3 linked regions of the Drosophila melanogaster genome follow. The protein of the gene in region 3 purifies or fractionates together with the protein of the main gene of each other region. This does not show direct contact. Each region holds a gene or a part of one and is shown on either strand. Other genes may lie near its edges.

Region 1 (11,551 bases), on a different chromosome or scaffold from region 3:
ATTTCTCTCATTTGGCAACTTTACTTTGAGACACACAAGCAACCAGTTATAAACAGAAGTTATTTGCCAGTCAAAATAGCTCATTTAATCCACAAAAAAAAAATCCAGAATCAACCATGATTAATGGTTGTGCAGTTAAACCTTTAGCATTTCGAGTTTCGCTTTCAATAGCGTAAAAGTTAATGGAATAATCGAAGTTGACGTATTATACGTATATTTAGCACGCCTCATTAAATCAATTTAATATATTTGGTATTGGCTTTTCGGCTGAGCGCTCATTTTAACCATGACCTTTTAGAGCTGAAAATAGAATTTAAATCTAATATATGAATAACTAAATGGCACAATATGTCAGCGGCTAGGATGTCTGCAAGTTGGACGTGTGAATCATAGTCAAACCACTGTGCATAACTTTCGATTTCAGATCGGACTGCTATGCAGGCACACCTACAAATGGACCCCGAAAAATCCAAAACAGCTTCATTGTGAGGCGATAATGGCCAGGCATTAGCACAAATTCAATATAAATCAAAACCCGGGCTACGAACTTGTATTTTTTCGTCGGGAAATAAAGCCTCTGCTTTTCGGTTGCACCAATTCCCGGGCTATGCTGTTTGGCTTCCACGTCTGATGTTCCGAGAACGAATCCAGAGAGCCCACTGGTTAGCTGAAGCTTCCTCTATTGAAATCGAAAGCTTCCTTTTCGGCCTCGTCAAATGATTTTTGACCAGTTTTAATTTAACTTTCGAGCGCAGCAGATCGCGTCGCTAATAACTGCCGCTCCATAACGGTTAATACTGGGGTACTGACTTTGGTTCTGGTTCAGAGGCAGCCGTATCGATATATCAGGTTCAAGATCCACAGCGTAAAGGCAAACATTTGAATTAATTTTAATGTAATTAGGCGATGATGTCGTTCGGCAAGGTTTGTGCGACGTTTTGTGACTGGTATTTGATATTAACCAACTGAACTCCCAACCATGCGCTCAGATTGTGGTATTCCTGGTCCTAGTCCTAGTTCAACTAATCCATTGTACGCGCTTTACTGCGCCATCTTTGGACAGGACCATCTACTACCGGAATACGCCACCCGATCCCTTCGGTCACTACAGCTTCGAGTTCCAGACCACCAACGGCATTACCACCAAGGGAGCTGGTAATGAGAACGGAGCCGTCGGAGTGGTTCAGTTCGTTTCTCCCGAGGGTATACCCGTTACCTTCTCGTACGTGGCCGATGCCAATGGATATCAGCCCACCGGAGATCACATTCCCGCCATCCCGCTGCACGTTATCCGCCAGTTGGAGTACATCCGCACGCATCCACCGGTGGATGAGATTCGGTCCAGACGTTGGTAAAAAAACAGGACATTAAAAAAATTATATATTGACTTCTAAATAGCTGTCGATGGGCTGGCTGAATATCGTCGTTACACTTCGGAATATTTTTATTTCGTATTTATGTTAATTGTTTTTCCATGCAAATCGGACCAGAAGAGAACAACAAAAGCATGCCAAAATCTACAGCAAGTCAATATATATTCTAGAATTATAAATAAAGTGCTAGACTTAATTGATCTGCGTTCCTGGAGTCCGGAAAGTTTGCCTAAATGCAGGAACTATGTTCAATAAATTGCAATCAAAATCCGTACATTATACGAGTACTGCAATGGTGAAACTGGCTAAAATATGATAAGCATGTTTGTGGAATTCAATTTAAAAAACCCATAGGGGTTATGCTTACTGACATGCAAATAAGGAAATCGGTAAAGAAATCGGTAAAAATAAAAATATAAAAATTAAAAAAATTATTTAATAGATGCAGAAGAAAAGAATGAATAAAATGTAACGCTTTAATTTAATGTAATTGTAATAATATCTTATTTCTTGGTAATAATAGAAAACTTTTTTAAGAACTATTGTCTCAAAGAAAGCTAAGACTCATGGAGTGCAAAACGAATCAAATCCAGTTTTAATGCTTATGTCTTATAAGTGAAACGCAATTTTAGTCTTACTTAGTTTATCGAGAGCGTGTTGAAACCGGCAACTATAATTATGAAATATGCTAAGAATGCTTCTTTTAAATGCTCTTTTTAAAGCTTAAGATTTATGGACCGCAAAACTAGTCGAAGTCATGTTTTCTATGCTAATGACCAGCGAATCAAGCGCACCGAAATGTCAGCTTTCATCAGCGCACCCTAGATCTGTGAGCTTCGCTATAAATCTGTCATACCCATCCGATCCAATCTGATCCGATACAAAGTGCGACCTTGTCTTTAAGAACGACTTTCGCTTTTCGATGCGGCAATCGGCGAGAAGATTGCGCCTGCCGTCGCTCATTTGCATGTGGGCGCCTAATTAAGGCCGTTGCATAATATTGACCGACTCTCGAAGAGCGACTTAATGTAACCGACAGACTAGCAAGCCAAGTGGAGTTGACACCGTTTAATGTCACCGAACCGCAACAAGTTGCTGATTGATGCTGTCGGCTCAAACTAAATCCCCAATTTGGTTCCGGCCTCGAAAAGATTACCGCGCCCATCGCCAAAAGTTCACCGTGTAAGTGAATGAGTTAGTTGCTAGAACAACTCCCTTCCATTGAAGCGTATTCGAATATAAATTATTCATGGCGAGTTCGTTTATCTTATCTTCCTTTCAACAAATCCATTATATAAATGACAAACAACCCGCAGGCGCAGATCACCAATTTGTACGCGTCCTATTTTTGTATTCATAACTATGAAATAATCATTAGTTCCTCCAAAACCGCATCCACGTGCCAATCCGGTTGCTGTTTTCAGAATCACAACATTCACTGATTTATGGATCGGAACGGGGCATTCATAAGGCCTTCATGACAGTCCAAATGCTTTAATGCCACCGCTGGCAGTTTAGTATCCAACTTAGTATTAAATCTTATTAATCAACTACCTGAACATTTAAATATAGTCGACCTCATCCGCCGCCAACAGGTGTTGGGCAATTAAGAACGAGTCGAAAGTTTCGCTGGTATGCATACTTCGAAAATATCATTCATAACCGACTAATCCATTTTAAAGGTCAACGAACTTACTGACTTGAGAAATGAATGGTTGGATCCATACTGACAATATGTAAACTTTGGGACTGCCTTCTGTGTCATCTGTATTCATTGGAACACAGTTGCCATCAGCGCGTTTAATTAACTTATCTGAATTGATTTACATGCATACCAAATTCCAAAGATCGCTCACAGAGTATAAAGGAACTTGAAACCGATGTTCGTTTCTTTACAATTATATATTTCAAGTTGCTTGACATATATACGTGCATGCATATATTTGGGCGTGTTTGCGGCCTGTGTTTGTTTGTTTTGGGTGTGAATCTGGAGTTTATGGAAGTGGAAAGCGGGATTGTTCACCTATCCTTACATTTTACGGGGATCACTAGGTGTTAGGAAGCATCACTATTTCTGAATTGATTTGTGCCGATTTCGGAACTTAATTTTCATCAAATGTTTGTGTTTAAATCGATTTATTTAGTGTAATTGTTGAGTTATCTTGTAAATACATACATTTATTATATTCCAAGTTTCTCACATAAACTCTATGTTTATACATTTTTTGTCGCTTTCATCTTGCAGTTTTGTCTATACTATTACTAAACCTAGATACGATATTTAAGAGGCAACCAAAGAGATCTGGCTTGAGATCCCTGGCAGCCTAGTGCGAAACGGACCGAATGAACAATTTGATTTATTGAATTAGTTTTTTTCCTTTGCTTGGGTAATAAGAAATCTTTCTTTTAGTTTACTGGAGTGTTTAATACATATACTAAATGTAAATATATATTGAAAAGGTTCGTGTGTGTATTTTTCTGTCTTCGTGTTCAGTTGTCTGTAAAGTTGGTTCGGTTGTGGGTGTCAGGGAGTGGGTTTCAAATTGGGGTGTGCAAAAGTCCTCCAGAGATCTTGAGCGTGCCCACAGCTAAAACCTAAAACAAACGAAAAAGTATGAATATCCCAGTTCACGCTGGTGATTCCTTTAACTTACCAGTCCTCTTCGCATGCCAGTATGGTATAGTGGTCATGACCACGCCCCTAGGGCCAATCCTAGTCGGTCTTTGTCTCCGTAAACTCCTCCAGGGCAAAAAAGCTGCCGCCGGAGGGGCCACCAGTGCTGCTGGCCGTGCTCGTGGCAACAACGGTGGTGGATGCCGTGCCACTAGATGCCTCCGACACTTGCACTTCCTCGCCGGCCGAGTCGGCAGCCGCCTCCTTGTCATCTGCACCTCCGGAAGCGCTGGCTGCCTGCTGTGCGGCCTCCAGGACCTGTTGCTGAACCTGGACGATGGGCTGGCCATCTTCCGTGTACGACACGGACACTGGGATGCGGGTACCATCCTCGCTAATGACATGAGCGCCTTCCTCACCATCCTGTCCCTGCTGGATAATTAACTGCCCCTCGGAGTTCAACAGGGAGGCATCGATAAGCTGCTGTTCATTGTTGTCACCATGGACAAGTACCATCTGGCCACTGCCATCGGTCATCATCTGGAGGGTTTCGCCCTCAAGTCCCTCGCCGGACTGCAGAACTCCTACACTTTGGAGCAGCTGCTGTATTTGCTCGGGATCTTGCACAATTATTTGGTTGCCTTCGGCGTCCGTCAGGATGTGGTTGTCCAGCTGGAGGAGATGGCCGTTCTCGTTAACAATGAACTTGATCTGGCCACCTTCCACCTGTGCCTGCATGGCTTCGTCAAGTTCCATGGCAACATGCTCGCCACCTGCAGCTTCACCCGCCTCGCCCTCGGCTCCAGTACTGGCAGTAACCTCGCCTTCGCCAGATTCACCGGCTTCAGCGGTCGTGGCATTGGCCTCCGACTCAGTTGTGGGCGTATCTGTAGCCTCACGCTTAGCAACTACGTCTCCTTCGTCAGATGGTTGTGGTTCCTCAGCAGCGGCGGCTTCCTTTGACTTGGCGCTTTCTCCAGCCTTGGCCTTGGCTTTCTCTTGACCTGCTTTGCTAGCCGTCTTGGTTTCCTCTGAGGCCTCAGCTTCAGCAGCTGCAGCCTCGTTGTCATCATCTAAACTGGGCATGGAAACCGGTGCGGCATTGGATTTGCTATCGGCAGAGGAGGCCTCGCCGCTTTCGCCCTTGGCATCGATGCTGCCCTGGGACTGTGATTCGTCTTCGGCTTGATCCAAATTTGGCATGTCAATGCTAACAGAGACAGGTGCTGTGGTATTGGGCGAATCCTTTTGCGATTGGTCTCCGTCCGGTTGCGGGATAGTAATGTTGAAGGTTATGCCTCCACTGCCCTCCTGCGAGGTAATAACCATCTCGCCGCCTTTGCTTCCCGGTTTGGGCGCCTCACCGCTCTCGTTCTTGTCGGAGTGGAGCTTTTCAAACAGGCTCTCAATGTCGGCCTCTGCGTTTTGCTCGCCGCTCTCGTCACCGGCCTTACCAGTTGCCTCTCCGGGCTCATCGCTTAGTAAAGCCGTAGCTGCCGAATTTAGGGCAGTGGCTCCGGCCGAAGTTGCCTTCTTGTCACGTCTGTGGGTCTCCATGTGGTGGTTGTAGTATGTCTCCTGGATGAAAGTCAGTGAGCAAATGCTGCACGAGAAGAAGCGTATGTTGTTCTCCGACTCGGTGGTTGCCACCACAGCAGCTGTCGAAGCAGGCAGGCTATCGCTCAGTGCCTCATCAATGGTCTCTTGAAGGAGCTTCTGGGTGTTCAGGTTCTGGCTAACTGACTGCTTGGGCGATACCGTCGATGCGGAAGGACTCTGATGCACTTCGAAGTGCTTAACAAGCATCTCCCGTTTCGGGAAGGTCATCGAACAAGTGCCGCACTTGAAGAAGTTGGTCTGATGCTGTTTGGCATGCACAGTAGCAGCTTCGCGCGTCTCAAAGCGCTGAGAGCACAGGCGGCACTTAAAAGGCTTAGGTTTACCAGCGGCATGCTTGCGCATATGCTCATCAAAAACGACCTTGTCCGTTGACTTGAACTGGCAATGATTGCATGTGTATAGCGATGTTCCAACCAGATTCTCGTTGGCAGCAGCTGCAGCGGCAGCTGCAGCAGCAGCCACGGGAGCAGCTGATGCCGGTATGGTGGTGGTGCTGGTCACCAGTACATTGGTAGCGTGATTCGTCTCCATGTGCTTGCGCAGGCTGTTCTCGTTCACGAAGTTAATGTGACACATGGCACACGTGTTATCCATGGCGGTATTGTGGTCGCGCACCATGTGCTGCTTCATGGCCCCAAAGTGCGGGAAGATTTTGCGGCAGGTCTTGCACTGGAAGGTCTGCTGCTTGCAGGTTTCATAATGCGTGTTGAACAGCCGCATATCCGAGGTTTTATAGTCACACGAGGTGCATTTATAAATCTTGGTGGCCTTGCGTTGGACTGTCTGGGTGCCTTGGACGCTGCTCTGGGTGGTTCCTGGGGCGATCTTGGACTGGCCAACTGTACGATTGCAGAATATGCATTAGGAAAGCTTTATAATTTCTGTATTTATGTACTTACCTGGGTTTCCCTGCAGGAGTTTACGTGGACGCAGCAAATCCGCACTAGGACTCTCCTCCAACGAGCGATTGGCGGATCCGCCGACCATTTTCTGCATCTTGAGCGGCGGACTGCCTTCCTGGCCCATATCCTCGTTAATGGCATACTTCTTGTTAAGCAAACTGATGAGGTTCGTCTTGACGCGCTCCACATCGTTTTCCAGGCGGTCGTAGTAGTTCACCAGGTTGGTACAGCGTGAGCACACGTAATCCTCGCCGCAAACAATCACGAGGAAACCCTCGCCCACGAGCTGGGCCAGTTTGTTGGGGAATTTGGTGGAAGTGTGCGTGGTGCACATATCGGTTAGCGAAGTCTGTGGCTCGCAGCGGTCATCGCAGATATAGCATCGCGTGGCTAATCCGCCGATACCCACGCCACCCGACTCTGCATCGTTGACCGCCTGCTGCTGTGCTACGCCGCCAACGGCTGAGGCTCCTCCGGCAGAGGCACCTCCTCCTCCGCCACCACCGGGTACCACCATACGCGTCGACTTGAGGATTCGCGGCTGGCTGGGACCGGTCACAGTGACCGCTCCGCTACTGAGCAGATTGTTAAACTTGCGGTAGGTGGCCGGATTCAGTTGGTTGTTCATTTCGTGGCGTTTTGGATTCAGGTGAGCACGCCGTAGTGATGGTGTTATTCGGTTTGTGCGGGCGCTACACGCGCAACTGCAAGCCGCTACCTTTCAATATTAATCGGCGATTACGACAAACTACACTTCTGCACTCCGGTTTGGCAGCTTGCTGGGATTTATGTATCGATCGGGTACGGATGAGCCACTCGAACGAAACAATCTATCTTTTTTGGACACCAGGAACAACAATCTCTTCCGTTTTTAATTTTCGGTTTCGTTCTGAGTTGTCGCGGCGTCACTTTGACTGTACTAAAGACTCGGTGCTGTATTTTTTAGGGTTAAAAATGCGTATGTGCTGTAGCAGTTCTCGACGGACGCGTATGGTCGTCTCGCTCTTTAGCATGCTCGCTGCCCTGGCACGGCGGGAAAACATGGGCTAGTCGTTTCACTCGCACGCCACGGAAATGGCGGCTGCCTGGGAGGTCAACCATGGTCAGACAGAGAAAATCTCACAGCGTTGCCGTTCATTACGATAACGTAATTATTTACTTGAAATAATAAAGCATTTATTTTTCTTATTGCGATTGCTGAGTGGTTAAATACAAATAAATACTTACTTGTTGTGCTTGTATTTGTAAAAGGTAAATAATTAGCACATTTTGTCTTGAAAAAAGGCTCAGCGTCATTCCTATCATGCAATGTCAAAATTAACAGTGCGTTTTGTAGACAGTAGAGGGCGCCTTTGCCCGCCCACTTTAAATTCACAAATATTCTCCTCGTAAATATTTGGCATACCCAACCTGTGAGGTAAGCATTAAATACTTGCATTTACGCAGTGATAAAGGCCAACATCACTAATGTGCTAATACATAGGACCGATAAGATTCCGAAATTCCAGTTTTACCTATTCGATTTAGGTATATCTTTTAGCCAAAGGAAAGTTGAAGGGAAGGGGGCTCTCTTATCAGTAGCGATAATATAACATACGACCTGATAAACGTTCCAGCCAAACCACAGAATTCAGTTAACGAACGAAACGAAAAGCGAGCGGATACCGCCTCGATCGAAGCGAAACATAAAAAATAAAAGCCCCTGGCCAGTTGGCTTTTTGTTATAAGAGCCATTATCGCAAGGTTTATCGGGAAATATAGTAAACGGGTGGCGAACTCAATTGTCCGGCTCGATCGTTCAGTTGGCCAACAGACGTCGCGTACTGCAAAAGCGCACTCAACCCGATCGATTTGAGTCCCGCATACGGGGCGTGAGAATATCTCCCAGTATCTGGAAACCACCCCTATATATCGAACAGTCACTGCAAAATGTATTCAGCACCAGCGGCAAAAATCAAGCACTTTGGCTCCCTTAAAACGGTAGCAGCTTGGGCCGGAATTCTCGGAGTGGTAAGTCGGCGCTGGCAATTCAATGTTACAGTCTAGGCCGCCAAGCGACCGCGACCCCATTCCCAGCTCATCGATAAGTGATATGGGGAGATGTTCGACCTGACATTGAGCGCACTTACTAAGATTGGATGGTCTCTCCCTATCGAATAGTCCAGTATTCCAACAGTCGGAGAGCTAATCATGATACGAGTATAATACTCATTGACTCATCCGGGACGGCTCCCAAACTGAAGAACTGAGCCGCACCACAGATATCAGATAATGCCGATTGACGTGTGTAAACAAGTGAATGAACAAAAGATCTAGATTGGGACACTAAAAAACGTAAACGTAAATAAGTACATACAAAATTGGATATTTCGCTGGGTATGAATAATATCACGATCTAGAAGCCATCCAACCTCTTTAATGACGGAACACGAAGAACAAACGATAAAACAATTTTATTTAATTAATTTTCAATATAAATATAAATTTAAAAAAACATGACAAACAAAAACCGATTAAAAATAGTGCTCATTTTTATTCAGTGTGGCTCTGACGTTTTGAGAACTCCTCTTATTTTATTGTTATTTTTATTTCAGGCCCAGTCCATCATCTGGATGGGCTTGACCATAACAGCGATATGTGCCTACAATTGTGTCCTGTATATTACAAATGACCTCACCTATGGCTCCATGGTCAAGACTGTATTCTTTGACGTGTACTTCAAGGGCAGTTGCAAGATGAATCCCAGTGATTACCAGAACTACGACCAAACCATCCTGAATACAGTGACTACTGTTTTTGATCCCACCCAGATTTTGATCTGGAATTCGGTCTACCTGGGCGTTTCGGTTTGCTGGCTAATCGTCTCCGTTGTGCTGCTACTGTGTAAGTACTTTAAGAACCGGAAATGAACTGCATACATAGTTAAGATATCGAAGCCTTTATGATTCACGAGGAGAAATCTAGAAATTTATTTGTGAGGCATCCAAAACTTACGCATGGCACACAGCCGTAAAGCCCAAATAAACAAAACTTGATGATAAGTTCGCTGGGAACTTATATGATGGGTTATATAACGATTTCATTAATGGTTCTTTCCCACCATATACAATTTTCAGCATTTGCTATTGGCTTTCAAAGAATTAAGCACATTAGCCCACAAGTAAACTGGAAAGTCTTATTCTTTGTTATAGACAGATATATTCATTCATACAATTCGTTTTCTAAAGTTAAAATATAGTAGCATGGTTATAGTTATAGTTATGACTCAATCTTAATACTGCTCAAATATGTACGAAACATATCTTATCTAGTAATTGATTAATTAAAATTTGTTAAGTGCTATTTACTTTAATTTTGAAACCAAAGTGATTAGCTTTTTGACACATTTTAGAGCATACTTTACTCGTACATAATGGTCTTTAAAATTATATTACCTAATGACTCCATTATAAGATTGATTGATGTATCGCCAATAAGTAAGCCCATTTAAGTATCACATGTTTAGCGCCCTGTTATGTTCCTGACAGCACTTGCCCGTAATGGATTACACTTAAGTTAATAACCCGCTTATACTCTTACCATTTCAGGGGTGCGCAAGGACAACCCGAAGCAGACCGTGACTGCCATCTACATCTGGGCCTTCTTCGTGGCCACCATATGCTGCATGGATGTAGCTTCTGGAGTGATCTTCGGCGTGGACTACGGACGTTTCCACAAGGAGGCTCTGAGGTATAATGCCAATAGTATCAATGCTGGTGTCATCTATCCCTTGGCTGCCACCTTGATCGCCGGAGGAGTGGCTGCCATTTCCATGATGGTCATCTCCTTCAAGGGATTCGTTCTGTGGTTCATTAACTTTGGACTGCTCGCATACCTTGTCGCGAGAGCCATTCGAATTTCCACCGATAAGGACAATGTGGTAAGTTGTGGTCAGGTCGGCGAGTGAGCTCATCGCCCACCAATGCTGAGTGACTTCTTCGTTGTCTCCGCTGATTCCATAAATTTTCGACACTGCCTTTGAAAATATTCCAACAACGTAGAAGTTAAAAATCGCCGGGCAGCGACTACGACATGGCTAAACTTAGCACTTTGTCGCCATTAACTCAATGTGGTGGTGGTAATTGCTGATAAGCTGGTTTCCAATTTGGCACCAGGTTTGCCTGATAGCGGGCTCTTGGCTTTTCGGTTTGGTTTGACCGAGCACGCTGGAAAATGACGACTTACTGGGCCTTAGGTGCGGGGGTTCTTTGCAAGGACAGTTCGCTTGAACTGAGGTGTTCTTAACTCAGTGTACACTTAAAGTATCCTTAAAAAGCCTCAAATATCTTCCTTAATATAAATTAATTACAAAATCTTGAATGAGCTATAGCTATCTTGCCTAAAATCAAACAAACATGCCCTTTTCCACAGGATACTTTGTTCAATCCTCGCAAGGATTCCAATGATATTCTGACCACCAGGACCCCGATTCGCGCCTACGAGGAGTAAGTATAACGATTCACACATCCTTAATGTCTTGAAAATAATTCTCGATTTGTATGGACAGGGTGGAGGTCCAGGCGTATAACAATGCCGCCTACGTTCCGGAAACCCGTTCCATGGCCGAGACCATCCAGGTGAACGAGGGAGCCATCGTGCGGGCGGCGCACTTGTCGATGGACTCGAACCTAATGGATCGTCGCTTCAGGGACCTCAACGCGTACCAGCAGTACCCGCCTCCGAATCCGCAGCAAAGTCGCCCGCTGAAGCAATCTTCGCAGAATCCCATGGAGACCATTGTGGTGGCCACCTCGGGATTCCCCGTGCCGGACTACTCCCCGCAGCCCAGTCCCAATGGCGTTCTGCGCCACAACCAGTACTAGATTACTAAGCCCCTTGGCGCCCCCAAAAAAGCCCTCTTCGATACTATAATTCTCAAATAATCCCAGCTAAAGTTTAGTTCAAATTTTATCAGGGGGGGCAACTTCTTCTGCGTTTTTATTCTTATTTATTTGCATGTTTATAACGATATAAGTGTACAGCTGTAAATATATAAAGCCGTT
Region 2 (9,487 bases), on a different chromosome or scaffold from region 3:
GAGAATCGGTGCGAATATCGTGGGTTGGAACGAGCATCCGCATCCAGATATAGATCCAGATCCAGATCGAGAAACAGTCCCACTACGACCACACATGCAGAGCCAGAACACAGAAATCTAAAATATTAAAACGCCCAAATTTAATTCGTACTTATTTATTACTGTATGCCTTACAGTTTTTACTATATGTGTTTTTTTAAAAACGAATTATTTTTATTAATTTATTGAGAACGTTATGCGTTTGTTGTAAGTAACATAATTGGGGAGTGGGAGATGGGCGATGATGATGATCAGATGATGATGATGATGATGTGCAGGAGGAGGATCGCAGATCTCGCACTCCCCACATATACATAGAAGCCGAAGTATTTATTTTTAAGTATTCTTAGCTTGTTTTATTATTATTGCGTTATGCGGTTTGTATATAAAATAAACAAAACGAAATCCATTGTTTTTAATCTATGTAATGTAAAATGATAACTTTTATTTTTGTATCTGTATTCTACTGTAAAATCAGCATTTAGAGTTTACATTTTACACGATTTTCCGCAAGGGCAAAACTACAATGATAAAGATAAACCCATACGAACACACACATACACACATACACACATACACACACACTCACACACACACATATATACACCGCAATCGAGACCGAAAGTATTTTGCAAATGTATTACACTTACAATTTTGTGCTATTTTGTAAAGATGAAACCCTGAATTAGTGTAAATCTGTTGGCGCAAAACGGAGATATGTATTTACCTATATAGTATATAGTATATGCATACCTATCTAAAGCTAAAGCCTTACATATATCCGAATACGAGTACCCTACACACATGCTAAATATTAGAGAGAAACGCAAGATCGCAATTTGTGCAAGACACAAACAAAAACCTGGTAAAAACACGCGAAGAACGGAACGACTGCATTACAAATGTGGCAATAAATAATACATAATTAATAAAACCCTGTAAATTAATAAAGGATAATCAATCATTCGCTGGCTATTTGAGAGCATCAAAATTGTGATAAATGAGAATTAGAATGCGAATGCGCGACGCAGGACACCGCCAGAGAAAGAGACCGCCATACAGAAGGCGACAGAGACAGACAGACTGCAGCTGGCGATTTGCGCGCGTTTCTGGCGCGACTAAAAACGCCTGCTTACCGTTTTTGTTTTGGTACGTTATAATTTTCTTTTGTTTTTAATTAATTATTTGATTTTTGACCTTGTGCATTCTTGGCTTTTAACTAGCACTCAAGCTAAAAATTTGACCAACTATGCTTTACTTTTTGTTAAATTCCTCAATAATCCTCGAACTGTTGAGCTCGTATTTTTTGAGCAAACAAACAGAACAAGATTTTGAGAACAATAATTTTTGTGATATATTCAACCATACCTGAATATGGCTTTTGAACTTTGGCTCTTTTTTCTTCTGAGCAAGCTATACACCAAATTAAAAAAAATCAGGTTTCCTAATTCCTCCTCCTCCTTTTGTTTTTGAACACAGGCAAGAATGCTTCGGATCGCCCTTCTTCAACGCCTGCATAGAGGCTCTTCAGCTGCACGAGGAGATGGACAAGTATAACGAATGGCGCGATACCCTGGGTCGCAAGTAAAGTGCGATTCTCTGGGATTTTCTGGCACCGTCACTGGCACGAGCAGCTACTTAATTCTATGAACTATTAACTAAAACTATTATTATTGATAACTGTGGCAGAACACGGCACGAAACTATGGCAACCAGGAAACGATCGACCCGAGGAATGTGTACCACTTGAAGAAACAACTAAGCTAACATCTAGCTACAAGAGAAAGCAGAGCAAAAATGTTGAAAAAAAAATTATGAAGACAATTACTAAACTATTACACGCTACTTATCCGCACTTATATCGGAAAGTCTAAATTGGTCTATATGTTATTTCTATCATCTGTCATGAAACAGTCTCGTGGAGCTTTTAGTTGTAGTGAATTACGTAAATTATGCTTATTTCTTTTAGTTCTTCGCGCAGAAGGAAAGCAAAAAGTTATGCCAAGAATCAAATATGAGAAGAAACAAACAAAAAAAAAACAAGCAAACAAAAAAACGAACGAACAAACGAACAAGAATCAAAATGTCTGATGTATATAACTATTTTTGTCTTCTTTTAAAGATTTCTATACATATTTATAACGCCTAACTGATTTGTACATTTCTTTTATTTCGTAAGCTTAAGTTAATTTGTTACGGCAATAAATTTTACGTTCCACACCTTCCCACACATGCTCTCCTGCAATAGAACGGAAATCACATCTGAGCAACACCACACGGCATAATTCGATTCGATTCTATGTAGTATTGCAATGCCTTACAATTACATAACTTTTAATTAATTTAAACTTGTTTGGATCTAGTCGTAAAATATAAATAAAGATTGTATATTTCAAGAGGAATCGACAGCGAATTTGATTGCGGTGCAAAACTTTATTCAACGTACGATAATATTTCAGTATTAATAATTCACAAGTGCAAGCATTTTCGATTCGATTGGACTACAGATAGATCATGGATCTTGTGATGGAATCAGCCCAGGAGAACATCTCACTTGAGATGAATGAAATGCCAAGTGTCGACTGCAATTACAAAGGACGTAAATTGGTATAAAAAGGGTTTATTTCAGGATAACATTCAGTATAAAGTATATGTACAACGATTAACGAACGCAAGCAAGCCAATTACATAAATTGGGTTTCAGCAGTATTTACAGCATGGAGTAATCTCAATTTAGCTTGCTAACTGGACAATTAAAGTAGCTATTAGTAAGCGTGCAGGTTGTGTTTGTGTAACCAATTTGTTTGCAAGTTACTGGTGGTTAAAGCGTGTGTTGGAGTAGTGTGTTTTTGGTTGGGATCGGGTGAAGCAGCTATAAGTTCGATCTAATATAGTGAACCTTACCTGTATCAGACACCTCCTCGACCTGGCCGCCATCGGGGGCCTCGGCCAGTATCTTCTCGGCCTCCTCCTTGGGAATGACGTGCTCCGAGTTGCGGTTGGTGATGTTGGTGCTGCGAAACGGACGTACTTAGGATTAATTGTAAATGTATAAAATGGCATTTAACCCACGTGGAGATGGACCCGGATGCGGGGCTCTGGTGCACCAAGTTCTGCCAGAACTTGTGGGTCTCGGCAATGATGGTGTTGGCAAAGTCCGCATTCTTGGCATCGCCGTTGAAAGCAAACTGATTCTCAGGCTTGCCATCGGGGATCTTGTAGATCTGCGAAATGCAAAGGGTAAGAGAGGGAATCGTCCGAAAATCGAATTCCACCCACCTTGAACCACTCAACGGTGGCACGAAGCAGACCCGGGAAGTACTGGTCCACATCGGCGATATCATTGACTTTCGAGGCCAACGGATCGTTCACATCGATGGCGATTATCTTCCAGTCGGTTTCGCCCTCGTCAATCAAGGCAATGGTGCCCAGCACCTTGACCTTCAGCACGTCGCCGCGCTTAGCCACTCGGTAGCCAATCTCGATGACATCGATGGGATCGTTGTCACCCTTGCAGCCGGTGGAGGGCTCGATGTGGTCGGGGTTTTCCCAGGTCTGGGGCAGGGCTCCGTAGTTCCAGATGTAGCCCTTGTGCGGGAAGCAGTTGGCCACGAACCGCAGCTTACCCTTCTTGATGTCCTGCTTGATGGGATTCATAGGGGTCTTCAAGCTAATCTAAGGGTCAGACATGCAATTTTTGTATTATTCAGAAGTATGAATCTTAGGGACAGGCAGACCGACCTCCATTTTCGCGTTGGTCCAACGTGGCACCTCCACCACCATGTTGTAGATAGTTTTCTCCTCGTTGGCGTACAGTGGAATGTCGTGCATCGGCGAGATGACATTGCCGCACTTGTTTTCTGTGGAGAATGGCCAGAAATTATTATGCCTGATATATGGGCGACACCTGGACACGCGATTTGATTAATAGTGACCGGGGACCTGTCGGCTAGACAAAGGTCACTAATTTGCGTGCCAGTAAACCGAAATTCAGCCACCAGTTTCGATATCTGCTATTCGGAATATGGGCTAATAAAGGAAAGAGATAAGCCCAAAGGGGCCGAAACTCTTGGTGTTTCCGCCATTTCCGACGCAAGACAAATCGGATCGGCTGATAGTGCTGATAATGCGTCGAGTTAAATAAGCAGAGTCCGGTTTGACCTGTTGCATAACCATTCCGGTACCGATCAACTAATTCTAGGTGCATTAACTGCACCGAGTTTGGGTAACTTGCAAATGCGCAAGCAAAGGGTTAAGCCGGGTCACATTCACATTTGGCCCCCAATGCGCTACTCTACTCACTGAAATACAGGCTGTAGCTCGGCGAATTCTTAGCGCCCTTCTCAACGGTTTCGTACAGAGCCATCTCGTGTGATTTCGTGCGCTTCCGTTCTATCTGAATATATCTGCAATTGCTGGCAAGGGCCGCTGGTGACGTTGGAATCGAGCCGGACAAGCGACCAACCGCACGTGAAGCGTAAAATGAACTCCTTGTAATTTTCGCCAACATTTTCTTCAGCCCTGAGTTGAGTCTATCGATAGGGCGATAGGACCCGATTTTACAGTTAACAGTGCTGCTCAGAAAATGTATAGCTCGATTCCATTTCATCCATTCCAATGGAGAATGAACTTCATTTTTTCATACAATTAGAACTATTATTATAAATATTATTATATGAAAACTATAACATTATAATTATTATTATTAAATATAAAATACAATATTGTAATTATAATTATTATACAAATCTATTTACAGTATAAATAAGACAACTATCAAAACCTTAAAGATTATTTAGTTTTTGTCAAATCGTAAAAACTTAAACAAAATATGCTTTGAATATGTTCATACCTGCAGAAGAAGCACTTAGAAATATTTTAAAAGTTTCATATAAGTGATTGAATTTTTTATAAATTCGAAGTCAATAGGTTTTACTTGTACTGGTTACTGATCGTTGCGAAATTGTCCGAATTCTGGTCATGTTAACTTAACATTAACAAAGCTTCCAACTGGGAACTATCGGTGCTATCGGGGATCCGAGCAGTGTCATCGATAACATTGGCAATCGAGTTTTCTAAATTCTGAGTTTTCTTTTCGTCTGTCGTGTGTGCGTGTTGCCTTGCTTTCGAGTTGGCGTTGCAAAAATTCCCCTTTATTTTGCTGACGAGATATTCCAAAAGAGTAAACAAACCGGGGGATCCAAGAAACCCCAGCTTTTATCCGAAAGCAGTCGTTACACGTACATTTTCAAGTGCCCGTGGCAACAAGTAAATTCCCCCCCTCCATTCACTGCAAAATCTCTAGTGAAATGCAGAACGGAAAACCGAGATCTTCGGCCAGGCCGTCGTTCCACCGCCGTCCCAAAGACGGAGTGGCCAACACCACCACTGATAACGCTGCTGTCAAGCCGGAGGCCTTGGAGAGCTATACGGGCAACGACGACAACGCCTGCGTGGTGTGCTTCAAAAACGTGGAAATTTTCTCCATCGGCGACTGTGATCATCCCGTGTGCTACGAGTGCTCCACTCGGATGAGGGTTCTCTGCCAGCAGAACGAGTGCCCCATCTGCCGCCACGTCCTGTCCAAGGTAAGTCCTGCGCTTGTCTAGAGAACCGAATCTCTATCTAATTCTAAAACACTTGCAGGTTTTGTTCACACTGGACAAGCTGCCCTATCGCGAACTGGAGGCAAATAACCGCTCTGATTTATACAGCAAGAAGTACCGCATCGGCTTCTGCACCGCAGAGATAAGACAGCAATTCTTCAAATTGCTCGACCATCCCTGCCCGAAGTGAGTATTCTGCCCGCACTTGAGTTGCACCATTGAGGCTCACCCTTCTACGCTAAATTGCAGATGCGATGCACCTCCATACCGCACGTTCGAGGGCCTTCGCAACCATGTTCGCAGCGAGCATAAACTTCTGTACTGTGACCTATGCGTCGAGACCCTCAATATCTTCACCTTCGAACGGAGGTGCTACACTCAGGCGGAGCTGCAGCTACACAACACCAAGGGCGATCCGGACAATCGGTCGCATCGCGGTCATCCGTTGTGCGAATACTGCAATAAACGCTATGTGGACCGTGATGAGTTGTTCCGTCATTTGCGCCGCGAGCACTACTTCTGCCACTTTTGCGACGCCGATGGTTGCAATGAGTTCTACAATGACTATGCGGATCTGGCGGAACATTTCCGGGCGGAGCACTTTCTCTGCGAGGAGGGTAAGTGCGCCACCGAGCAGTTTGTCGGCGCATTCCGCAACGAAATCGAGTACAAGGCGCACGTGGCCAACGTGCACGGCAAGTCGCTCAACAAGCAGCAGGCCAAGCAGACGCGCACCTTGCAGGTGGAGATCACTTTGGGGCCTCGTGGCCGTAGTGGGCAGACGGAGCAGGGCATAACCAGCGTGAGAACCAGGTGAGTGAGCGGCCATCCAATTTGAAGAAGGCACTCTTAGAATGGTAAACCTTACAGGAATGACGAGCACAACGACTACCAGAACGATTTGCCTTCGATCACCCAGCGCCATGTGAGCATTGATGCTGGCAACGAGGAACAGTTTCCCACATTGAGAGGCGCTTCCACAGCTCCCAGCGTATCCTTGGTGAGACCGCCACCGCCCTCGATGCGCAATCTTAGTGGAACTTCTGGTCTTGCTCGGACCAAAGAAAACTTCCCGGCTCTGGGAGGAGGAAATGGAGGTGGTGTTACTGGGCCCACTAGCAGCAGCATTGCCGCCCGGGCTGCTCAATCGCAGCACCCCGTGGCAGCTGTCTTTAAGAAACCCACAAGCGCGGCAGGTTCTGGCAGTCGAAGTGGGCCTCCCGGTAACGGAATGCTCCTGCATGTGTCAAATCGATCAGCAGCCGTGCCCAAAAAGGCAGCCACGCCGCAGGTAGACTTTCCTGCATTACCGGGTAAGGGGAACAAGAAGAATCTGCGCAACCTGGAGGAGGATATGCTGCCTAGCGGATCGCCAGTGCCGATGGCGAACATCTCCGCTAAGCATCGGTCTCTAGCCGATGACTACGTGTCAGTGGCTAGCCCGAGCACCTTTCAAAAGCTTCAAATGGTACAAAAGGAGGAGGACGAGGCCAAAGCGCGCCAGGAGGCTTTGAAGAAGAGTGCTCCCAAACTCACTGCGGCGGAATTCCCTAGCCTCGGACCGAGTGCCAGCGCCAGCTCAAGCAGGACGACTGCTCCAAAGCCCAGCAGTGGATCTCCTTCATTGAACTGGTCGAAACCAGCTAATGAGAAGAAGCAGCGTGAGCTGGAGAATCGCAAGGCCAAAGTGGCGCCGGCCCCGGTTCTGCCGAGTCCAACATCGAAACCTGCTCCCAAGGCAAGCAACAACAATGTTCAAGAGCAGCAGGCAAATAAAAAGGATAAAAAGCAGAAGGATAAAAAGAGCAACCAGGAGAATCAGCCTAAGACGGCCAAACCGAAGGAGAGAAATAATAACAACGAACAAAAAACCAATGGGGCTCCGTCTACGCCAATACGTGCTCCTCCCGGCTTAAAACCTGGCGGACCGCTAAAGCCACCACCAGGATTCGTGTCCAACGTGACTGTTAACTCGGTGGCCAAGCTGCCCAACAATCTCACGTTCACCAATTCGCTGGGCGAGTCGTATGACATTGTACCCAGCCCCTATACGTACACCGATCCACCAGATACCGAGGTCAGGAATCAGGTAAGCTAACGTCGTTTGCCAATTAGTTAGAAAACATTAACTTAAAAAGCATTTGTCTTGCGTCCAGAAATTGGTTGATGAGGTTATGTCCCTGCTCAAGACCCCAGAGGCGTTGAACGAATTCCGCTTGCTTTCGTCTAAGTTCCGCGACGGATCCTGTTCTGGCCAAGCCTATTACGAGCACTGCCAGTGCGCCATGTTGAGCTCATTTTACAACCTGTTCCCGGAGCTGCTGGCCATGCTGCCGGACATAAGTAAGCAACAGGTAAGACCCGTTTGCAAAACCACATAATAGTAAATAAAGAGTAACTCCATTATTTGCGCCATTTCCAGGAACTTTACCTAGTGCACAAACAACACCTGAACAGCTTGCCGCCCGCCGAGCGCAAATCCGTGCCCGCGCTTGAAGTTTGCAAGGTGTGCAAACAGATCCTCATCACCGCCGACTTAAAGAGCCACCAGCAGGCGCATGAGCTGACCAAAAACTTCCCCGTACTCGGAAGCTCAGCCTCTAACACGCACCGCAATTGAGGTGGTCGGATTGTAGGACAACAAAAGCTTTATCCCTGTATATTTTCTATGTACATATATACCGTGTCAACCATCTAGGAACCATGTCCCCAGATCATGTTGTGAGTGGAAACCCGAAAAAGAACTAGCCGAACCCATCAGTCCATGTAGCGCGACCCACGAAGCCATCTGTTCAATGTGACTTAGTCCGGACAGAAGCTTATCTTGGATGCGTTTCTAATATTTACGAGTGAGCTTGTGTCTAGCAAATGCCCGCAACCTAATAAAGTTCAAATCAATCACAATTATTAGTCGTAATCACCTGGTATGTTTGCCTAACCTGTCGCCCTATCTAATGTCCACATATGGTGGTCGCAAATTGGTTATCACCAAATGGAAATTGGTTGTAGTTGTTGGGTCGTATGGAGCAGATTTATTATCGGACATATGGAGCTCTTCTGCTCTTATCTACGTGGTTTGCTAGCTGGGGAGCGATGCTTGGTAGTTGAGTTTTCTGATTTGAGGAAAAGTAGAGCTTTTGTCGAATATGAAATTCGAGAAAAGCTCATTCTCCATTTTTCTACATAGAATTATTATGAAGGTAGAAATCTATAAAGGCGCGCAGACTCGCGTTAGTACATTTTTAAATAAATCAAATTTAACTAACACTGTTTTGTATTAAGTTTTTATTACGTAACACATAAATGTCTGAATCCATATTAATTACTGGTTATAATGTTACTATAATTATTTATATGAAAATGCATTACTGAAGATTATTTTTTTTGGATAGACCTACGGTCACACTAAAGTCGCAAACAACAATAACAATGGACCGGCGAGAGGATGCTCTGCTACAGGTAATGTTATTAATTACCATATATGAATGGAGAAACTGGGGTAATTACTTTATGGAACCCTGTACGACAGGCCCTCCAAACGAACGCCAGCGAGACAGAGCGCTGGGAAGCCTTCAAGCGCGATAATGAGAGCACCATCCGGAACTTGGACAAGTTCGCAAAGAATCTCAGCGTGGAGGTTATGGTGCCCATTGGACGGAAGGCGCTGATGCCCGGCGAGCTGATCCACACCAACGAGCTTCTGGTGGGTCATTACGAGGGCTACTTCTCCGCCTGCTCCTCCCACAAGGCCAAGGAGATCTGCCAGTACCGCCTGAAGCTGGCCGAGGAGCAGCTGAAGAAGCTGGCCGTGGAGAACGATCTGTGGCAGTAAGTGTATCAGT
Region 3 (11,330 bases):
CGTATCCACTGCCATGGATGAGGACTAGCAACTTTTTGGACTGCGACAGCTTTGCCGGTTGCGAGAATACAAACGAAGACCGCTCTGGAGGCTGGTCAAAAGGGATGTAGGTGCGACTAAGACCGTTTTTCTCCAGCAAAGCGTAGACAATTTCTGGGATTTGCTATGGGCGATAAAGGATACAGTATTTGTATAAGCTTATTCCTACCCACGTGGGCATATGTAATAATATTTGTGGAAAGGAATTGTGTGGTCTAGTTTCTCTTGAAGAGGATTCGTCCTAGGTGTGGATTCCTTGACATCAAGGAAACCTAATAGATTATAGTTTTCGGCAGAAGATATTCATGTGCAATGTGGGTTGAATGCGGTACATACGTTGGCTAGCTTCTGGTAGTGCTTCTCGTTTTCGGCGGCGTCGTCGCTGACGTTGTAGGAAAAGAGTTCCTTGCCAGGCTCCCCAGTGGCGGGATCGACTTTGCGCAGCACTCCTTCTGCAGGAGGCAAACGGGAAGATCATATTGTCAAGTAGCGACTTTGTGCAACATTCTACTTACCTCCATCGAATGCATATCCAAAGTTTTTCAGCTGGATGAGAGCCTCCTCGCAATTGCTAGCCGGCGGCGGTGAGTGCGACATTCGAAAACTTCTGAGGGGTCGAAATATTTGAATAAGCCTAGACCACATTACAATCGGTCGCGTGGCTTCCACACGGTTCGGCACTTACGTAGTAATAGAGCGATTGGAAAAAGCTTTTATTTATATAGAATTGTTGTTCGAGTTTTTGTTTTGATTTTTCATATGAACGCCGAACTAGGGATGGAATAAGCGCGCCACCTACTGGCCGCAAGCTCACATCGTCTAAGCGATAGGTATCGATAGCGAGGTCAGAGCACCAATTCACACCAAAACGCATCACTGCCAAAAAAAATCCCCATAATATTCGTTATAAATTAAATTTTATTAAATAACATTTTTTAATATAATATTGATCCTTTCCTGATGATTAATCATTGTCTTTTAATTGTAACCCTAGATAGAAAAGATCATACATATTTCTGTAAAACCTGCTATAACCCATCTTTCCATACAGTGCGATTAATTTGTAAGACTTTTAATCTCGCAGCCATAGAGTCCATGGATTCCTGAATCCAGCTGGAGTATGCGTTGATGCGAGTGAAGGCATAGGGTTTTAATGGGGTGCAGGCTTTTCGACCGTAGGAAAGTAATCCGTACAGCTTCTCTTTTGCCACATTCATCAAGGGAGCTCCAGAATCTCCCTGAAATGTAAAATTAAAATAACTCTTATTTAACTGATATAAAAATTATTTTATAGCATTGGTGTTTGTTCCTGGTAAGAAATTATAGGACTTCTATAAATAATATCCTAAATACCTCTTAAAAATTGCTACGTATTGCAAACCAAGGAATTTGACTGGAATATGTTTTCTAGTTTCAAATTTTATAATGATTAAATATTTGAAATGTACCTATATGTAGTTTGTTTAATTTAATTGGAAAACATATTCTTTGTTGAAAAAATTTTAATTGATTTTCGATTATGAATTTCTGGCGTATTTCTGATCCACTTACGTCGCAGGGACCTCGCGGTCCTTTCAAATGCATCGCACAGATGTCAAGCGGTTTGAGGAAAACGAAGCGATGGCTTTGCTGGCACTCATCGTTCTCCATGGTCAAGAAGGGCATCTCCTGGAGTTTTCTTATCTTGCCGACGCCAACCCGACCCCAGCCAACCAGCGAGGCCTGGGTGCCACTATCCCTTTGAGGCTTTCCAGCAAAGTTAATGCTACGAAATCGCACATCGTCGAGCGGGAATTTGGGGTAAATCCTCAACACGGCAATGTCGTTGCCGCCGAGCACCCTAAACTGGGGATGCCATCTTCTTTCCACGACGAAGAAGCGGGTCTGCTTCCGGCTGTTCAGCGAATCGGCGCCACCAGCCACGTACAGTTGTTTGGTTGGATTCGTTTGGATGCAGTGGGCTGCACTGAGCACGAACTCATTCGAAAGTATAACGCCCACGCAAAGGTGCTTGTAGTATCCTTTAAGGTTCTCTCCTATGGAGACGATGTATGGATAACGAGGGCGGAAACTTATCACCTTCGTGGTCGACACAGTTGTGGCTAACAAAGGTGTGCTATTCTGCGGGGTGTCGGAAAGCGTCTCCTGGGCTGCCGACATCGCGGCGAACCAAGCTATGGAGCAAAGAGATTGCCAACAACACATAACTGCGACCAAGTCACGAATACAAAGACGTCACAAAGACGTCTTGTAGTCAGGTTTTATCATCAAGCATCTTAACTTTATAATTGGGCATGAAATTATAATTTTCTGTATTCTCACATGGTTAACTTTAAAAGAATATACATTTAAATTCCATTATATTATCAAACTTTATAAAGTATAGCAATATTTTTTTTGAAGAGAAAAAGCTTGTACGGTTACTATCTACACGTCTGCAAAATTATGGAAACAGTTCGAAAATAGCTTAAAAGAAAATCCTCATTAGACCCCTATAACCGTGATCAATAGAAATGCTACTTGCTAGTGGCAGAATCTCTGAGGGTCTGCTTCATATTGGCCACCTGGTTGAGCTTGGCAAGGCGCTTCATGGTTTCGAGCTCCTTAATAAACGTGGCCAGCGCCTCTTTTGTGGTCGAGATGTCAGCGTCCTTTAAGTCATCCAACGTGTCCTCCTTTTCAAGTTCTAAAAGAAATTCAAAAATATATATAGATTCATATATACTCGTGACAAAAATTAGTTTTGGATACTAACCGTCCATTTCGGCTTCTATGTCATTCAGCCGATCGAGAACCAAGGATTGCTGCACCTTGATATGCTCGATCAAACGGTACTGGCACTCCTCCGGATCGATGGCAGCTTCCGGTTGCGGAACGTTCGGAAGGTCGGGGGCCTCCAATTTTGCACGCTTAACCGGTGTCAACGCAGTAGAGTCCAGATTGTCTTCGTCCCACTTTTTGGCCCATAGATAAAGCTTCGGATGACAGCGGTTGCGTGCGATGTTAATCTTCACCAGCAGCGAGTGCATCGATCGCTTGGCATCTAGCAAATTGCCGGTCAGCGTGTGCGAGCGCTTCAAGAGCTCGAATTGTTTGGTGGCCTGTGGATTTGCAGTGTGATACGCGGCCACCGGCAACTTGCCTTCGAATAGCCAGTCCTGGTCGTGCTTAAATCTCATAGAATCCCGACCCCTCTGCGGATTGCGACAAATGTAGCACACATACTTGTCCGGTACATCTGCCTCTTTGACAATTCCGTTGCATGCACCGTGTTGCCAGCATAGGCACAATTCACATTGGATCATTAGGCCGTCCTCTTCGCCATACTCGCAGATGCAGTTAATGATCTCCTCCTGCCGCATGCGCACAATTCGAATTAGTTCACCATTTTCCTTGATGTACTGTGGTGCTTTGCTTAACGTTTCAGCTGGTGGTGGGGCAAGGGCTGCATTTATGTCGGTCTGGTCATTAGATGATGGCGTGGACACCGAATCTCCCATGGCTGGTGAGTCAATGGAACTGATGGGAGTTGTTGCCGCACCACTGCGGCGTTTTTTCGAGTCGATGCGCGTATCCGGAGTGGGGGTGTTAAAAGATTGCCGTGTCTCCTCAACATCTTGTTCGGTTAAGCCATGACCAGCCGGGTTATCTGACAAAATGGGACGACGCTGAGAGCGCTGGCGGTTACTCTTTCGCGAGCCAGATGGCCGCTTCGACGGCGACAAGCGTGCACGCTTGCAGGAACGACTCAATGAAGGATTAAACGACTGAGTTGGACCAGCATCCAGAGAAACATCTTCTTGTTTAATGCCACTTTCAACAGTTGGCGACACACTTGGTGGCTCCATCTTAGGAGATAACAGGGCCTTAGTAGGCGTTATGTCAGATGGCGTTGAAGATGTGGCCGTAGCTGATACACTCTGTCGTTTAAACGATCGTGACTGCTGCAAATCCTGCTGGTGCATTTTGGCAAAGAATTGCTGGTTGGGTATTTGGTTTTTTGGCACCGCCTCAACTTGATCGATGGATGAGGGGTGCGTACGTTTGACCGCTAGTTCCTGCATCTTTGGACAGTGGCTGACGTGTCTGTAGATTTAAAGTAAGTTAGGTGTCATGAGTTTTGAATGAATATTACTCACTCTGCAAACTCCTTGTGATAATGGCGAATGTGGATTAGCAGAAAGTCTTCTTTGCGATAGGTCTTGGCGCAATCTTCGCGCGGGCATACATAAAGATTGTCTTGGATTTTGACTTTTAGGCCCCCAATGAAAGCTGAAATATGGAATTATAATTTATTTTAATATAGCACATGTTATTTCAAATTGCATATACTTACCAAAGCCATTTTCCACCACATGAGGATCTGCTAACATAAGCTGAGAGGTACCTCCCTCACTGGCTTCCAGTATTTCTGCTTCTATCTTGGGCTTTGTCTCATCGGCAGGCTGCGTCTGCGGCGACATTAACTCAGCTGGTGGCATAAGCGAGGCCACCGGTGCTTCCATGTACTGGCTTTCTTTCACCGGCATCGGAGTAGAAGGTAAAGAATGTTGCGACGTGATGCTCTGGTCCAGCGTGGAGTTCATCGACACATCCATGGGCCTGGGCTTGGGCGGTGGCTGCGGATTGTAGCCGTGTGTGTAGACGTAAGCATTGATGTCTTTGGCACGACGTCGATGGATGCTAAAGTCGTACACATCCGGGTTGTAGACCAGATTCTGGGACTCAAGGAACAACTTCAAGTCGGACTTGGAGCGGAAACGTTTGCCGCTGGGCGAGACCAGAATAACATCCCACTTGCCGAGGACGTTGGACCGCTGGTACATGTGCTTGATCCAGCCAGGAGGCAGACGCCAATCCTGCACGATAACAGTGGGTTTCTGGTGCTCGCCCACAATCAGAAAACCCTCGGTTCCAATAGGCTGGTCATTTACCCAATGACAAGTCCACTCGCCGTCATGCGGTATTTCTGGGAGTCCAAGGGATGCTGTTGGTTACGAAAGTCAAACATGAAAGTTAAGTTTAAGGCAAAACTAACATTCTCCTTTCGGTGCTCTTACCTATATCCAAACTGGCCATGTCCAGCAACGGCCAATCCCTGCGCTGAGGTGCACATTTGCTCTTCTTGCTGCCCGAAGAGCCACTGGATCCGCCAAGGCTGCCTGTGCTCGCCCGCTTCGGAGCCACAGGTGCAGAGCTTACTGGAGTTCCAACAGGAGTGGGTGACTTTGAGGCACCCTCTTCCGCTACCTGAACAGGGGGCAACTGCTTGGGCATCTTGTTCATGTGCACGGCGCGCACGTTCTTAACGTAACCATCGTCGAAGAGAACCTCGTAGGTATCGTTGCCCAGCAACTTGCGTATGGTTCCTGGAAACTTACGCGGCCCCGACCAGCGGGCCATGCACTTCTCGTCCAGCTCAAAGACGGGCAGCACACGGTTGCTGAGGCGCTGCCTCAGCCGCTCCGACTTGATGGCCATCCACTCCTGAAAGCTGCCGCTGGTCGAAGGTGACACCTTTAGCTTGTGATTGCGCTCAAAGCGCACGAGTAGCGTCTGCTCCGTCTCGTTAACTTCCACGATGCGGGCGGGCAACCAGTTGCCTTCCACACTGAGCGCCTCCAAACGGGCGCCAATAGTCAGGTTATGTGGGTTGCTGTACTTGGGCGGTGTGCCGGGCAAAGGTGAGTTCGAACTGGAAGCGGATCCAGGAGCTGGGACTGTGGCTTCGCTGCTTGCGGCTACCGGAGTCCCTGAGGGTTCCTTTGCAGCTGCCTTGTTTGCATCTTCTCCACTTTCGGGAGTATTTTTAACGTCATCCGCCGCCTTGCCTGTTTTACCTTCCTCCGTGGCCTTGCGTTCTGCAGATTCCGACAGGATTTGCGCAACTATTTGGTCTACCGTAGCTTTGATCACATCGTCATTGGTCGATGACTGAGCATTTCCCGGGGTTTCAGTCGTTCCCTCCACGCTGGCGTGCTGAAGTGCCCGTTGGTCTGCTTCGATCTCCGCGGTATCCATCTTGCCCCATGGAAAAACGGTGGGAAAGACGCGCGGCTTGAGCAGATACTTCCCATTGCGGATAGTGTTGAAGTCCAAACGGCGGAAGTGGCGTGAGCAGACCAGCACGCTCTTGGTGATCTGGCGCTCCAGGCTGATGCGAGAGTTTTTGATCCATATGGCGCGGATGATGGGATCTAGGGGGAAGGAGTGGTAAGTCACGCCGTTGTGCTCCAACAGACGCGACGTCGACGGGCAGTTGGCCACGCAGCACCGGCGGCCCATGGCGATGAAGTTCACCCAATTCTCTATTTTGTTTGCCTATGTGCAAACGCACACTTTGCTAAGTGATGAAATAATCCAGGAAACGACGCGAAAATTATCCAGAAAAATACAGCGCAATAAATTAGTGATACCAAATTGGGGTACAGTAAAAACGTGTGCGTCGGCAAACTATCGATAGTTAGATATTGCCACCTTGTTGGAAAAGTTCAAAACTATTTAACGATATTTTTTGAATTTTATAAAAAATAAATTTTAAATGACTTTATTGCATAGATCTTTATTGTGGTGATAAATAAATACTACTTTCGATAAATAAATAAATATTACTTTAGAGCCTGAGTAGGTTGAATTTAATTACTTTTTATTTCTGACTATCTCAATTTTCATGAAACTTTACATCAATCTTCCTGCCATAAATTAACTATTAAAGTTGGTAAATACCCGCTGCACAATTAATATTAATCGGTGCGTTAATGCATTTTAGCGAAGTGAGGGTGCCATAAATTTCCTCAGCTCGGCGGAAAAAGGATCACGTGCCGATACGCCACCGTTCCCAAGGCCACCGAAAGCCTATTTGAAATGCAATTAATGTACGCTTTTGGGCTTACATGTCACCACGTTCGCCAAAAGGCAGACACCTTGCAAAAAGCTAACCAAATACGATATTATCCATTCGACAAATGCTTCTGGAAATATGTATTTCAACACTGGGTTTCAAAGTTTGAGGAGCAGCTATTTACGCATACTGCTAAAATAAACACTCATTGTAGTTTTTAATTACAATATTTCACCCGGTCATTAGCATGCAAGAAACAACTGACAAATTTAAATGTGGCGCCTGCTGCTTGATCGGTTGATTGAGCCGCCAAAAAAATCGATTGAAGTATGGAGCTTTGGCCTTCAAATCGAAATATGTGAGGAAAATGTGATGGCACATTTTGAAAGAATAAAATATTAAGATTCTCTATATTGTGTCAATATCTTATGTATATATGTGGCTTGACCCCTCGAATTCCGTAACTAAACAGTTTAGTTCCATTACAAATATTGTTTTAGAATGATAGCCGGAAACTCACGGTCGAAGAGCTTCCTGTTTTTGGGTACTTCCCTGAAAACGAGGTCTCTGGGTCAATCGGTTGACTTTTAGATCTTGGGCGTGTTTGCGAAATTGACACGGAGCCAATATCAAATGGTGTTGACTTTGATTCAGTGGATTGCCAATATTTGTAATCAAATCACGGCTGGAGCATAAAGCAAACTTTAATTATAAAATGCTTTTATTGTCATATGCAGCTGACATAAATATTAAATAACGTGAGTAATTGACGTTGCTAAGCCGAATAATTTAGCATTTTATAAATTTTGGTCAGTCAAAAACTGACATTGAGGGGGCCACTCGAAGGGAAATCCAAAATGGGTGGTAAACACGGTTAGATTTCCGTTTGCATAACTATTAGTGAACATATTTGCATAAATTATCGACACTCGATGAAATTGGGACGACTGCACCTGACCTCACTCTCTTTTTGTGCAAATAATTCAACAATATGTAACCTGTGCAAAAATATTTTTCAAAAACAGAAAACCGAAAACAGAAATATGTACAAGGAGAGTACAAAACTTTTGGTCCAACTGACGGCGGCACTTTCTCCTTTAATATTTACCCAACTCATCGACAAATTGGCCAGGCCCATTCCCCAGCCTCATCTCATCGGTCCCAGCCGCATAGCCCATAAGTCAGCCCCTTCTCCCTCTCCCTCTCCCGATCCCGATCCCCATTCCGATACCGTCTGGGAACTCATTGCGTAAATATGAGGGCATGCAATGCGGTAATAGGCTGGCTGCGCGTCTCTTGACAGTTGGGCCCAGTTTCCCGGTTCCTTATCACATGATTATTACCCAAAAATATTATCGCTAAATGATGATGATCATTTTGGGCTTGAGAGTGCCCACGGGAATTCATGTAACGCCGAGTAGCTCACACAAATTAAATAAATTATGCTTGCCCGAAAGACATGGCTTAAGCAAATACACGTGTTGACCATGTAAATGGGTTGCCTAATTTATTATAATTTTTATTGCTCTTTGTCGTTCAGCATTGCACGCCGGTCATTTGAAATTTGAAATTTAATATGTGGAATTTTTTCAATGCTAGCAATTGGGATTTTTCCAAACTCTGTGTACAATATATTGAAATAATTTTACTTAACACCCACCTCTGTGGCATAGTTTAATAATAATCGATACAAATATTTTGCTAAATATTATAGAAATTTCTGAGAAATGGGCGCGGCTGGCCCAGCAGCATCCAGCATAATCCGCCCAAAGTGTCCAACGAGATACATGTGTCAGGTAATGAGCGGCACCTGCCTTCGTGTAACTTTTGCCGTTTTACCGATTGCCATAAAGTGCGATTTAACAGATACCTTTGCTTTTTCAAAAACCGCCATTTTTTGGTTTCGGCTGTGTTCGGTCGACATGCTCAACTGCACGTGAGTTGAAGATGTAAAAATAAAGAAAATAACGCGCGGAGGAGACAAAACTTATCGAGGCGATCATGTTGAAATGCGTGAATTGAGCTTGGGTTTTGGGTTTTTGGGTTTTCGGGTTTGCTCGGCTTACTCTTCACTTTCAACTGGTGAAATTTTCGTACTCATCGGGGCTGACCTTGATCTGGGTCCCAAGCTGTGGAGAAAATAATGTAGATGGGCATCATTTCTTATGCTTATGCAATGGCAAGTGTGTTTGGGTATATCTTCTGGCTATTTATGGCCGGCATTATGTAACGTTTGGCAGCTCATTTAAAATTATAAGTACGATTAGTTGTTATATAGGTGCGTATTTAATGTAGCCACAGAACTTATTGATTAATAAGTGACCTTTACATTTCAATTATGTCGATTTCAATCGACATAAATTGTTGGTCAACACATCAGTTGAGATTATGCAATGAGCAAAGCGACAAAAGCACTGGCAAATACATACATTTCTGAGACGAAGCAAACAATAGCGTAAAATGCATTTATTTATGCAAAGAGACAGGAGACGCAGCACACAAAAAAAGTTCGAAATTTCCGTGCCAAAAACGATTTTGGCTCAAGTGGTGTCGTGTTTGTGAAGCTAATTAGATGGGAGTTAGCCCAATCCATTCAACGGCCATTCAAAGCGAAGTGGTGCAAAATGATGCGCAAGCCAAAGAAACGCCACCCATCGCCCACCGATCGTCCCCCCCTCCCCTTTTTTTGCACCACTTTGGCCACTTATCATTCACGGTTGCTGGTTAAACAGCCACTGAAGATTAGGCCATTCTCCCCGTGCTCCAATTTATAAATGGGTTACAGATTGCTCTTAAAATATATACATACATAGGTGCAAATTCACGAGTATCTACTTAAATCAAAAATTCTAGCAAGTCGCTAGAATTCTACTAATCTACTAATCTTAACATTTAAGTTTTTAGCTTAAAATACTTCTGGCCTAACCATTTTCCAATCTATTCAAAACATTTAAAAGGAATTTTTCAAAATGAATCAATCTCTAAATTTATTGCCTCTGTAGTACAGGGTATTCAAATTTCGACTTGCATACAATCAGCTCCGTTGATTGTTACAATGTTTCTCACACTAAAAATCCTGAAAATAAAAAGTTAAATTAAAAGAAAGTATATGGTTTTTATAAAGAAAAAAGAAGTGTTCAACAGTAGGACTTCATGGAATAAACATTTTCGAGTGTAGTACTGCCGCCAAACCAAAAAAAAAGCCCCACCACTCATTCTCTCTTTTTGGGGTACGGCGCTCTCATCGAATTGAGTGGATGGATCGATGCGACTCTCGGTTCGTATATAAGGCGGGGTTCCCCAATGCTTTTGACATTCCAGTTGATCAGTGCCAGCCGATCGGTCGGTAGAGAGAAGTGCGTCGCGAGTCCAAAAAAGAAAATCGAGCCCGCAGAAAGTGCCAGTGAATAGACTGATAAAGCAAACAAAAATGAAAGCTTTCATTATCGCCGGAGTGTGCGTGTTGAGCGTGCTGAGCCTGGGATCCGCTCAGTTCCAGAACGGACGTCTGGAGCCGCCGAATCCGCAGCTCTGTGCCCAGCGTGTCATTCACGAGAAGACTCCCGATGGCAAGGGGTGAGTCAGCAGGATATGCTCACCAAAACATAAACTATAGGGTTTGCTTCTCTCCCCGCAGTTACTTCTTCTCGTGGCGCGACCCTCAGCTGAAGGGCGTGGAGGAGGACTGGCTGACCGCCAGGAACTACTGCCGCAGGCGCTGCATGGACTCCGTTTCCCTGGAGACCAGTTTGGAGAACGAGTGGATCAAGCAGTATGTTGTGCGCGAGAATGTAAGTACAAATTTCAGGGGCTATAACGATGAAAATAAATTAAGGCAAGAAATGATAAGAGAAATCGAAAGACTTAGGAAACGAACTCAAGTATAGGTGTTGTCATGAATAGCACACAAATGCGCACACGCAAAGCTAATCTTTTATCTCAACTTTCATAAATATTTACTCCGAAAATGTTGAGTCTATAAATGGATTGTCCCAAGTCAATAAATTAAACCTTACGTAAGTCCCACTTATGATATTGGAACCATGTCCAAACTAATAAATTGATCTGAACTTCAATGCACCTGTTTGTTAAACATTTAAGCATTGATAGATCAAACAAATGACCGAAAATACCATTGAAATGTGCAACTCATTCACTATGTATATGTTTTTTTTTCCGGCGAAAGGCTATTATAAATGCAAAATCAAACACTAATAAATGGACCGCATCAATGTGGACTTTTACACCTTAAAGTCGAAAAAGCTTGCCAATAATTTATTGTACCTGCATCTATTAGATTTTGTTTCCGTTGTTTTCTCACCTGTTTTGCATGACATTATGTCACCTTTCTTAATTTGTTTGGCAAGTTAAATAACGTCAGTTTAGCCGCGTGTGAACTGTTTAGCGCGTTTTATTTGGCAGCTCAGACAAGACACAACAAAACGCTGAC

The links.
Region 1: the proteins of MBD-R2 (region 3) and pzg purify together in Drosophila melanogaster (affinity purification with western blotting, with the first as the bait; 2 studies listed by BioGRID). This does not show direct contact.
Region 2: the proteins of MBD-R2 (region 3) and Nurf-38 purify together in Drosophila melanogaster (affinity purification with western blotting, with the first as the bait; one study listed by BioGRID). This does not show direct contact.

Annotation. Positions count from the first base shown.
Region 1 is NT_037436.4:21,282,023-21,293,573, reverse strand, and holds pzg (putzig), read right to left. Parts: upstream 7,476-11,551; 5' UTR 7,138-7,475; coding exon 6,507-7,137; intron 6,447-6,506; coding exon 4,087-6,446; 3' UTR 4,028-4,086; intron 3,969-4,027; 3' UTR 3,264-3,968; downstream 1-3,263. Other genes in the region: Cpr78Ca (cuticular protein 78Ca), read left to right, coding at 907-924, 990-1,355; CG12974 (uncharacterized protein), read left to right, coding at 8,439-8,519, 9,104-9,392, 10,097-10,428, 10,920-10,993, 11,056-11,371.
Region 2 is NT_033778.4:24,556,512-24,565,998, forward strand, and holds Nurf-38 (nucleosome remodeling factor - 38kD), read right to left. Parts: upstream 4,577-9,487; 5' UTR 4,550-4,576; coding exon 4,342-4,549; intron 3,900-4,341; coding exon 3,781-3,899; intron 3,715-3,780; coding exon 3,319-3,714; intron 3,264-3,318; coding exon 3,112-3,263; intron 3,054-3,111; coding exon 2,944-3,053; coding exon of another isoform or gene 2,912-2,943; exon of another isoform or gene 2,641-2,911; intron 2,622-2,640; coding exon 2,590-2,621; 3' UTR 2,456-2,589; downstream 1-2,455. Other genes in the region: CG11414 (uncharacterized protein), read left to right, coding at 5,349-5,627, 5,686-5,831, 5,895-6,458, 6,516-7,734, 7,802-7,999, 8,068-8,265; uri (unconventional prefoldin RPB5 interactor), read left to right, coding at 9,075-9,104, 9,175-9,473. UniProt on the Drosophila melanogaster protein: Component of NURF (nucleosome remodeling factor), a complex which catalyzes ATP-dependent nucleosome sliding and facilitates transcription of chromatin.
Region 3 is NT_033777.3:12,349,820-12,361,149, forward strand, and holds MBD-R2 (MBD-R2), read right to left. Parts: upstream 6,447-11,330; 5' UTR 6,325-6,446; coding exon 5,100-6,324; intron 5,027-5,099; coding exon 4,376-5,026; intron 4,312-4,375; coding exon 4,179-4,311; intron 4,126-4,178; coding exon 2,795-4,125; intron 2,726-2,794; coding exon 2,556-2,725; 3' UTR 2,324-2,555; downstream 1-2,323. Other genes in the region: CG10038 (uncharacterized protein), read right to left, coding at 1-163, 376-491, 555-684; CG10041 (uncharacterized protein), read right to left, coding at 1,068-1,277, 1,591-2,244; CG4115 (uncharacterized protein), read left to right, coding at 10,311-10,456, 10,518-10,671. UniProt on the Drosophila melanogaster protein: Component of the non-specific lethal (NLS) complex, a multiprotein complex that promotes expression of housekeeping genes on X chromosome and autosomes.